2 linked regions of the Drosophila melanogaster genome follow. The protein of the gene in region 2 interacts with the protein of the main gene of each other region in a pairwise test. Each region holds a gene or a part of one and is shown on either strand. Other genes may lie near its edges. The genes, in order: Cerk and lbl.

Evidence for each region.
Region 1: the proteins of lbl (region 2) and Cerk interact in a two-hybrid assay, tested with the Drosophila melanogaster proteins (one large-scale study listed by BioGRID).

What each region holds. Positions count from the first base shown.
Region 1 is NT_033777.3:5,365,007-5,370,077, reverse strand, and holds the start of Cerk (ceramide kinase), read left to right. Parts: upstream 1-1,771; 5' UTR 1,772-2,157; intron 2,158-5,071. Other genes in the region: CG31542 (uncharacterized protein), read right to left, coding at 1-423, 483-486.
Region 2 is NT_033777.3:21,431,022-21,436,117, reverse strand, and holds the start of lbl (ladybird late), read left to right. Parts: upstream 1-1,984; 5' UTR 1,985-2,150; coding exon 2,151-2,853; intron 2,854-5,096.

The sequences.
Region 1 (5,071 bases), about 16 Mb from region 2:
GGTTGGGAGGCGGGGCCACCGGCGGGGCGCAGTGGCACTCCGTCTTGGCGGGCTTCTCGCGACAGGTGCAGCGGGTCTCCAGGGCAGGCGGCTGCTCCCGCGGACCCCGGCTGCACGTGATGTGGTCCGCCTGAACGGATGGCGGAGGTGGCCGGCTACGGTTCTGAGTGCACGTGCACTCCACGGTGGGGGCTCCCCGGCTCTGGTAGAGGCTGCATGCGGCGGGATCGCCCGGCGGCTGCGTCGAGTTGACCTGGCACCCGCCTGCTCCCTGGCCCCGCGGACCCGGATAGGGACAGCTGTCCGGCTGCTGCTGCGGCTGGTGGGCGTACGAGGGGGGTGGCCTGTGGGGCGGCTGCTGGGGGGGTGGGGCTCCGCCGCTGGTGCCGCAGGGACAGTTGTTGCACTTGCCACACGGAGACGCTGCTGGCGGAAGGATTAGCGCGCTGCGGGTGGCGGTCTACAGTCCATTTGATACTCACACATTTTCCGAAAGTTAGGGCTTAGGTGTAATTAATTGTCCCTACAGGCTGTCCTACAAGCTGGTAAATCAAAACTGACAATTCCGGATCGAGATCTCTAATCGGGTTTTGTATACCCTGCGTTCTTTGCATTCATTTACGCTTTAAAAAGTTTGTATGACCAAATATATCTATAAATTAACAGTTTGAAAATAATTATCAATAGCACTCCATTAGATTACTTATAAACTTATGGACTCCACTGGTTTAGTTAAGCCCAATTAATGTTTAAATTTCTGCAGTTTTATTTGGAATTAACAAAAAAAAAAAAAAAAAAAAGTATAGTCGTATGTCCTATTACCAAATAATAAAAAGAGAAAGCTGAAATCATGAGAACGCTTTGGTCGAATGCCCGAACTATTGCTTATCCTAAGTTTTGCCTACTTTTCTTATAATTCAATTTACCTTACACTCTTCGAGTAACGAAAATAACAAAAGCGAACACGAAATTAGGATGACCAGGCTATCAGATACCTAGTATCAGATGTCTCTTAAAACTATTTTAAAATTAAATGTACGAAAGTAATATTCTACTAAAGTGCAACCTATTGAAATAGATTCCAGCGGAAATCCCGAGGAATTTCGAAATTAAATGCAGGAGAATTCCTTGATAATTTATGTATAATGTATGTACGCGTAACAATCACTTCGCCAATCGGATTTAAACAAAAGTGAAAAAAATTGATTATAAAATAATTCTTAACATTTTAAATTTATTTTTTCCTTTTTTGGTTCCTGGATGAATATCTTATCCGTGAGTCTAGGAGTATGACCTTGAGCAGTTGTTGTGTCTTCTGCAAATTGACAAAATGGCTATATTGGCCACCAACCAATTTTGAACCCGACTGAACTCATAGCTGAACTACTTTACCTGGAAGAAGTCCGGAGTCCCCACATCGACACAAGGACCAACCGTAACCCGCTGGAGACTCCCGCCCAACACGGTGTCATTGGTGACCGTTGAGCAATTGCTGCAAGCTGCGCAGCTAATGTTGTTGGTTATCTGGCGGCTGCAGTAGAGTTTTGGGATGATGTGGATGCTGGGATGAGTGATTTGATCCTGGGGAGTAGTGTATTAGTAGTGTAGTATTTAATGGTGAGAAAACTTAAAAAAAAATATCGGGCACAGTTATTTTTGGGTGAAGATGCCGTTAATTTTAAGGTAGCCCTAGTTCTCGCCAGACTTGAGAATACCCCAGACCAAACTATGTGGTATTTCAATCAAGTCAGGTGGTCTGCCTCGTATTTTCCACAGTTATATGTACGGTCACACTGGCGAGCGGACGTACACTTCGCTTCGATTTGTCCGCCTGTGTTTTTTGTAACGGCCACGGAAGTGCATTTCTGGTGTTCTCGTAAATTCTTTGTGCTCCAGCGAGTAGGGGGTGGAAAGTGTGGCTAAAACGGGAAACCGGGAGATGCCGAAACGCCATTAGCACCAATTGCACGTCGGCTATTTTCCAATTGTGTGTGTGCATTTGTTTGTGTGCAAGCGAAAAAGTGCAAGTGTGCGAAACTGCAATGCACATCCGTATCGAGTTTTCTTGATTTCCCCATAAACAGACGGAAAAACAGCGCAACGACTTCGAAAGTGCAGCCGTGTTTGTATGGATAAACGTTCCTACCTGGCCACCAGGTGAGTTCCCCAACCAGTTCACACTGGCACTCCAATTGGAAGAACGGACTAGGATCGAGAATAAGTAGGTACACGAGCACCCAAGTTGGAATTAAACGCAGAGAACTCAAGCCAGACGCACATACCCCCACACGCACGCACACACCCTTACGCCTGTATACACACATGTTCTTGTCAACAGCTGAGTTGTTGGTGCTACACAGCTGTATTGCGTTGCGATAACGGCACCCGGAGTATGGAAATGACAGCTGTCCCTGTCTGCACCACCCCACCCCCCCCCCCCTCCCAGGGTGCTATACCCTTCTGACGCACTGCGGCTAGAGCAAGCGAACCGGGACCCTTCGGTGTATATGTGCACTGTTATTGTTTTGGTGGTGCAAAGTATCGATGTCGATGCTGCGATACTTATTCCTTGGGAAAGAAATGTCTACTTCTATGGGTTAAATTGGATTTCAGGGACCTTAATTAATAATAATTTAATGACCTGCCAAGCATAGATTGCAAGTAAATAGCAACTAAAAAATAAGTATCTACTTTGTTTTCATTTTTACTCATATACTAATAGTTTATTTTAACATAACAATGTATTCTGGGAATTGGCAGAAAACCTATTCGTGTACCTATTTCCTTTGATCTTAGCAGACCATCTGCGCTATAGCACTGAATAATGACCCCTCACGTGTCAAAGGGAACTTGCCCCAAGTTATTTATAATATTTTGTAGCTTTGCTTTTGCTATTTTGGCTGTGAGGTGCGTGCACCGTCGAAAAGGTCAGACATGGGCTGATGTCTGGCAGCTATAAAGCGGGTCAAGATTGAATAACGCTCAAAAGGGTGAAACGAGATAAATGGTGGAGGGGTTGACGATTCTAATAATGTCAGTAGTTCTGGAGTTTAAGATTGACGTATTTGTTTGTATTTCGTACATATCTACAGCTGTGTTCAGAAAATAGCAGTGCGAAGGAAACTAAGTAATACAAAGGTATTTTTCCATGTCCTTTTTCGGAATCGACTTTTTATTCCACTTATTTTTGTTAAATTGAATGTGTAGATAGGAAAAAAAAAGAAAAGCCGGTTAGTTTTTCTTGTTATCCTTTTTTTATTTACATTCTTGAGCAAAATCGCAATTTTTAGGCTGTTCATAAGAATAGCAGTGCCTGGTTTTGACCAACGTAAAGTTCCGAAATGATCATTATTTTCTAAAAAGTGAGTTTGGTTAAGTTAATTCGTATATTTAAAAGGGCAAAAAATTAAAAAAAAAATTTTAAATTATATTTTAGTGGGTGGAGGACAGCACTGCTCCCAGGAGAAAAGAATGTTAATTCTTAAGCTTAGAAAGGAAGGAAAAGCATTAAGGACATTCAAAAAACTCTTGAATGTGCTGCCAAAATGGTATCCAATACCATTAAATATGAATGGAAGCCCGAAAACCGTGGTACCAAACGTAAAACCACAGAGATAGAGGATCGACGCACAGTTCGTTAGAGCAAAGCCTATCCTTTTGCATCCTCTAGGGACATAAAGTCTGAGCTGAACTTGGGAATCAGTGACGTTAAAATTTCAGTGCGAGGAGTCCACGAAAGGTTCCCCCACTTAGCCCAAGGCTTATTCAGGCAAGGTTTACCTTCGCTAAAACCTACCGAAACTGGCCAGTCTGCAAATGGCGTAATATCCTTTAGACTGATCGGTCAAAAATAGTGCTATTTGGTGGAAGTGGTTCACTACAGTATATCTAACGACCTCCAAACACGGAGTACCACCCAAAACACCCACTGAAGACTTTCAATCACGGTGGACCTAAAATCCTGGTATGGGCTTGTTTTTTTACAATGGTTATGAGTCCATAACATATGATTTATGGTATTATAGACCAAAACGCATATGTAAATATACTTAGTGATGTCTTATTGTCATATTCTGAATATAATATGCCCTTAAAATGGACATTCCAACAGGATAATGATCCGAAACGCAGATGCAAATCGGCTAAGAATAGGTTCACCCAAAATGGAATAGATGCAATGCCGTGGTAAGCACCATCTTCCGATTTAAGCCCGATTGAAAACCTGTAGGGGGACATTAAACAATATGTGTGGAAGAAGTCCCCGACGTCTAAGGCTCAGATTTGGCAAGTTGTGCAGGATGCATGGGCAAAAATTCCTCCCAAACGTTGCCAGGACCTGGTGGACTCCATGCCGCGTGGGTGTAAGGCTGTGCTGGCTAACAAAGGCTATCCAGCCAAGTATTAGGCCCGAATTAACATATTAAAAAGAAAGACTAAGTTCGTTCTAAGTCAAGTTGAATTTTGTTACTATTTTTTCATAGCACTGCTATTTCATTGAAAACCAGAATTTCTGCCTATTATGTTGTTTTAATCTATATTTTCGAAACTATTAAAGAAATAAAAGCGAAACATTTGTTAAATTGTTTGAAATTAAATACCTAATGATATTATAAAAAAAAATTTCCCATTAAAACTGTAAATCATAAGAATTTTTTATCTTAAACACTCAAGTCCAAAGCACTGCTATTTTTCTTAACACAGCTGTACATATATCTAGAGCATTTCCCCTCCATGTCATTCGAACTTTTTGTGTGGTTATCAATTTACCCGCTAGTTTACATTTCCGCAATGTGTCTGTCTTTTCCTTCTTCACATCGACCTACATGTACTAGACTTTTTCGCTTTGTTAAATAATTACTGCTGTCATGTGCTTCTTAGATGTTGGCGTGAGTCAACGAGCTCAAAGTTAAAAGAAATCGGACACAGTTCTATTAGTTCTGTTTATGGTACAGGCATTTAAATTATAAACAACTCGGTCTATAGATAAACGAAAGTATTGATTAGGCCTTCAGAGCTCTGATATACATATGTACGTAAAATCCGGCCCACTAACTCCCACGTTGCAAGTTAA
Region 2 (5,096 bases):
AATGGGAATGGATTTGAGTGCCGGCTCGAGTGGTTCGCTTCCTAGGGGCGATGGCTAATTATGATTGACAGGGCGTGTCTCGTCTATTGAGGCGCCCAATTAAGAGTCGTTTTATAATTGATTTTGAATATGAAGGCAATAGCGATAGCGAATGTTCCCAAGCCCCGTCAATTTCTCACTTCCAAGGCAAGCGAAAGGAGAGAATGCCCTGGCTCGTCAACTTTAGTCAGTCAAGTGTAGGCATTAATCAAACATCGCGGCCATCTTGCCACCAAAATAGGGGGCAGTCGAAGGGATTGGAGAAGGGCCCTTATGCAAATTCAGCGTCATAAATTGCGATGTAGGGTTCGGGTAAAATACATCTAAACAACACCCTTTCAAGAGACTGAATAAACTGGATTTTATATTAACATACTGTGCTACTCATTTTGTCAGCTGGGTACCTGTGTACTTTTGCTGGATCAAGTTATTATTTTGTAATTTTATACGTTAAACATTAAAAGCTAATTTGCCCATACTATGTAGTGTAAAAGTCCAATTTGTTGTAAGCCCTTGATGAGCCCAATAATCATTGGTAATTGATGCTCCGCGCTTTAATAAACAGATACAAACACAAATTTGTTGAAATTGCCACTTCCCCTGATTTCTTTTCCCATCTCGAAATAATCAATTATACTCGTTTTCAAAGGGCAGTGTAGAACCCATTATCGATTACGGCTCGCCAGTTACATCATTTCACTTAGCCGACTCTTCAGTCACATTCCCACCGGCAAAGGGCGCAATGCAGTTAAATAGACATTTGCATGCAAAATTCAAGGAAAAGCGAGAAATAAAAAAGAAAACCAGGACAAACAGCGGAGCGAAATTGAATAAAAAACTGACACTGACAAACAAACGAAGCGAGGCGCATACAGGGCGCATACGTGATACAACGAGCGGACCAAAGTTGCAATCAATTTGGAAATGCATTGAGTTGAGCTGTGGAGTGGGAAGCGAGGGAAGTGGCAAGACAAACGAATGTGTGCCAGCAAAATGCACTTAAACAAATGGAAATATAAATGGGAAAATATAAAATAATATAATCATAAATTGTGTGTAGAGAAACTAACTAACTAACAAGATGCAGCTAGTTATTAGATCTAACAACGATCTCAAGTTAACAAGTAATAAATGTGAAGAGCAAAGTAACTGTCATGTTGTGCCATTTATAGGTTATTACTTTTGAGGTGCAGAATTCGTTCGCTTTTTAATTTATGTTGAGGAAGTTTGAGGGAGAAAGACATTTTTACATTACTATAATATTTTTCATAGGCACATCTATTTATGACAAATAAACCTCTTTCAAAAAGACGTTCTTGAACGAAGGATTGTCAGTTCGGGGAACTGTTTTTCCCAGTGCATCAGAGGTCTCGAAACACGGATTCGAAGAGGCTTGTTTTTCCAGTGGAAAATAGATGAGGAGTCGAAGCCAACGGTACAACGAGACATCATTATTGATGACAATTGAGTGGGCCAAAAGAGAGCTGCGAAAAAGCGGGTGAGCCAACAATTACGATAATTAACGCAGTCAGTCGCCTGGAAAGCGACGGGAAAGAGAGGGAAATAGTGCCGCCCCAGAGAGAGAGCGAGAATGAGAGAGAGAGAGAGAGGGAGGAAAGAGAGCGCATGTCAAATTGTACAAATTAATGACGTTCGCACGTTGACAGCGACTTTTGGTCGGGTGAGGGGGTCTGTATGGCCCTCGACCAACTGCTATTGGTCCTCTGGTTAGCTCTCCCTCTCTCCATCTCTCTCTTTTCTGCTGGCACGCCCCCTTGGCGAGAGCGAGGCGGCGTTTCCAATTAGACAAGCTGCGCAGCTGCGCGAGTCCGTGACGTCATGGGTGCCAACCAGTTTGGAGGCCCCAAAAAGCAGTTGAGAGAGCTTGGCCAAGAAAGAGAGACAGAGAGCCGAGCAGCATTAGCATCGCATTCTGGCCACGAGCCATTTTCGTTGTTGGTGTTTGTGTTGCACGTTGTGCCGACGTTTTTCGTGTGACAGCCGCGCGTTTTGCCGACGCGTTTTTAATCGCCCGTAGAAAAGAGTTTGGAGCTAAGCCGTAAGGATACAGCCAGGATGTGCTGAGTGGCCAAAGGAAAATACACCTAGAGATGCCGCAAAGAACTCCCAGTCCCGCTAACTCTGATGTTTCGGTGGGTTCGCCCAGTCCACCGCCTCTGAGATCGTTGAATATGAAACGATTGCGGCTTTTGAGGAGTCCTATTAGCCTGGAACATGACCGCCAAAAGTCATCACCCGTCAGGGTCAAGAGCTTTTCCATTGCCGATATCCTGGGGCGAGGGCATGAAGAGGATCGTGTGGAGAAGAAGCCGGAGAGAATTGCCATTCCCAATGCTTTACCAGGAGTACCTGCTCCATTGGCTCTGATCAACGAAAGATTGCAAATACCCTTGGTGCCGAATTGCCCTCCGCCGGCTGCACTACATACATTTTTATCGCCCGCTTTGCTCCACAGCTATGAGCAGCGACTGGCCTGGGACTACCAGCGCCAGCTCCAGGAGCACTTCCAGGCACAGGCGCAACTCCTCCGGCAGATGACCCTGAATCCCGCGATCATTGCCTCCGAGGACGGCAGTTCAGAGCGTTCCCAGCGATCAAGCAGCAGCAATGGCAGCACCGAATGCTGCAGTCCCACCCAGGCGGAAAAAGTGGAAAAACGTTCCCAAGAGGACAGAATGGAGGTTCCTAAGAAGTCGCCCGAGGAACAACCAAAGGGGGCCAGCAAATCAAGTGGAGACACTCCCTTGGATGCCCTCTTCCAGCTGTCCACCAAAAACTTTGACGAAGAGCAGGGTGAGTAGTTTTCAAGAGAAAATATATTCCTCTAAATCCAAACAGAAGAAGACTTTGCTTTTAAACTGCGGAACCCAGTGGACAACCAAAAATCATATTCTTCATATTTACTATATGTAAAAAAGTACAAACAAAATTATAGTGCAGAGATAATAGATATTTCATCAGCTTTTTCTCAAGTTTTATCAACACCCCTGAGTATATGAGCTTTTTGTTATATATGATTGGAATATCTTCAACATAAAAATATCCACAAACTGTAGAATTACTTACTCCGCGTTCACCTCTGTGTGCACAACCGCAATCAAATTACATTTTAATATAAACTGATTTCCCAACGAGACCCATCATAACCATTAGCCTGGCCAGCGATTGATCAATTGTTGTCATTACGTCTTGATGAGATTCTGCTTAAGGCGTAAAAACAGTAGTGAGGTCAGCCTGCTCGTCCGAGGTGGCTAAATCAATTTCAGGCCAGCCGGCTGGCAGCTCGCTCGGCATCGCCTTTGATGGCAATTGCCTTTCCCAGACCCAGACCCAGTCCCAGTCCCATACCCATACCCAGATCCACTCGAAGGCCCCAGCCCGGTCATATGATGATGCTCTAGCTGCGGCGAGCTGCTGCTCCAACTCGAACTCAGACTCCAGCTGATGGCTGATGTCTGATGGCTTTGGCGCATGCGTATCGTTCGGCATAATTTGCTTAGCGGCGTTGATTTCTCGTTAAGTCGCAGACGCAAACCGATTTATCCCACACTCGGAATAAAAACAGAAACTGCCGGGAGTCACTGGGAAAACTATTCCTCATAATATCTTCGTTTGGAAAACACATCACCTTGATACAAATTATTGTACAAACAACTAACTAAGAGTATTTAAAAATATCCTGAACGGAACATTTCTTTATTTATTATATCTGCAAATCAATTTCCATCATTTTTCGGTGTAAAACAATATTGGCCATGAATGTCTATTAAAATATCTTCCCACAGCGGCTGTCATATTTTTTCCGAGTGCACTGACCAGCAATCCATCAGCGAACCCATGGTCTGCGCTTTTGTTCATCAGCTACTGAAATTGAATTTACGCGCCGCACGTACATCAGCCAATTGGTTCGTGCTCCACTCTAGATTGCCGCATTGCCGGATTGCTGAGCTGTTGGGTTGTTCGGTTGCCACAGAGCCATCTAATCAGCACCAGCTGATTTGATCGGTTGATCAACTGCTACTGGCATTGAGTGCCGCCCGGGATGATTATGATTATCGCCGAGCTGCACTTAAGCGCCGCAGTTTGCGAAAATTGTATTGCTTTTTCCCAAGACAGCATCCGGTGTGGAAGTGGAAGAGAAGACGCGAGGTTGGCCATGGACTGAACCCTTTCTACGGCTGCCTCCTGCAATTTGCCCGGCTGATCAAAAGCCGTAACCGGCCAGTTGAGGGAAAGATCTGAGACACTTCCGCCTGGTAATTAGGAGCAGCGACAACTCCCATTGCAACGCCATCGTAGCCCCACTTGGGGCTTGGGCCTGCTCACCGCTCATGACGATTGCCGGCAGATAAGCCATAAAGAGGCCCAGGCAGCACATACAAAATAATTACAATGAAAATGGCTGAAAAGTTGCAGCTATTTGAACAATGGACCTGTCGTTAGGTCTTGTCAATTACGCGTAGATACCTGCCACATTACGTCACCGAAGAATGGGTACCCTTTAACACGTTTCAGCAGAGTCGAATGTTGCCAGAAGGGTTTCTTTCTTTTAGATCGTAGAACGGTTTCCTTACATTTTCTCAGTTAGTATGTAGAATTTCTATGGTTCCGCCAATTGAAAATGGAAAGTGGATAATTACTGGGGGAACTACCCTCTTACAGGGTATACCGGCAAACGGATGGCGACTTGGGCACAAAGAAAGCCCGGTCGTGGGGCGATCAGCACGGTCGGTGGCTGCCGCTGAAATGTGGGCTTGATGAAACGCCAAGACAATTGGCACAGACAGCCGCGTTATTGAACGCACAAACGGCACAGAGCGGCGGATGCATCCCTAATTACAATTTAATTACTAAAACTTTTCCCACTTGACAAAAAGGCGGCGGCCATGGCAGTTGAGGACCAGAACACCAGAAGACCCAAAGACTGCGACGCAGCCGAGCATGAACCACAAACGCACCGCAACCAGATACATTGACAGGCCCTAGACACACACACACACACTTCGGCCACAATGATGATGGCTCTTCGGGTTGAC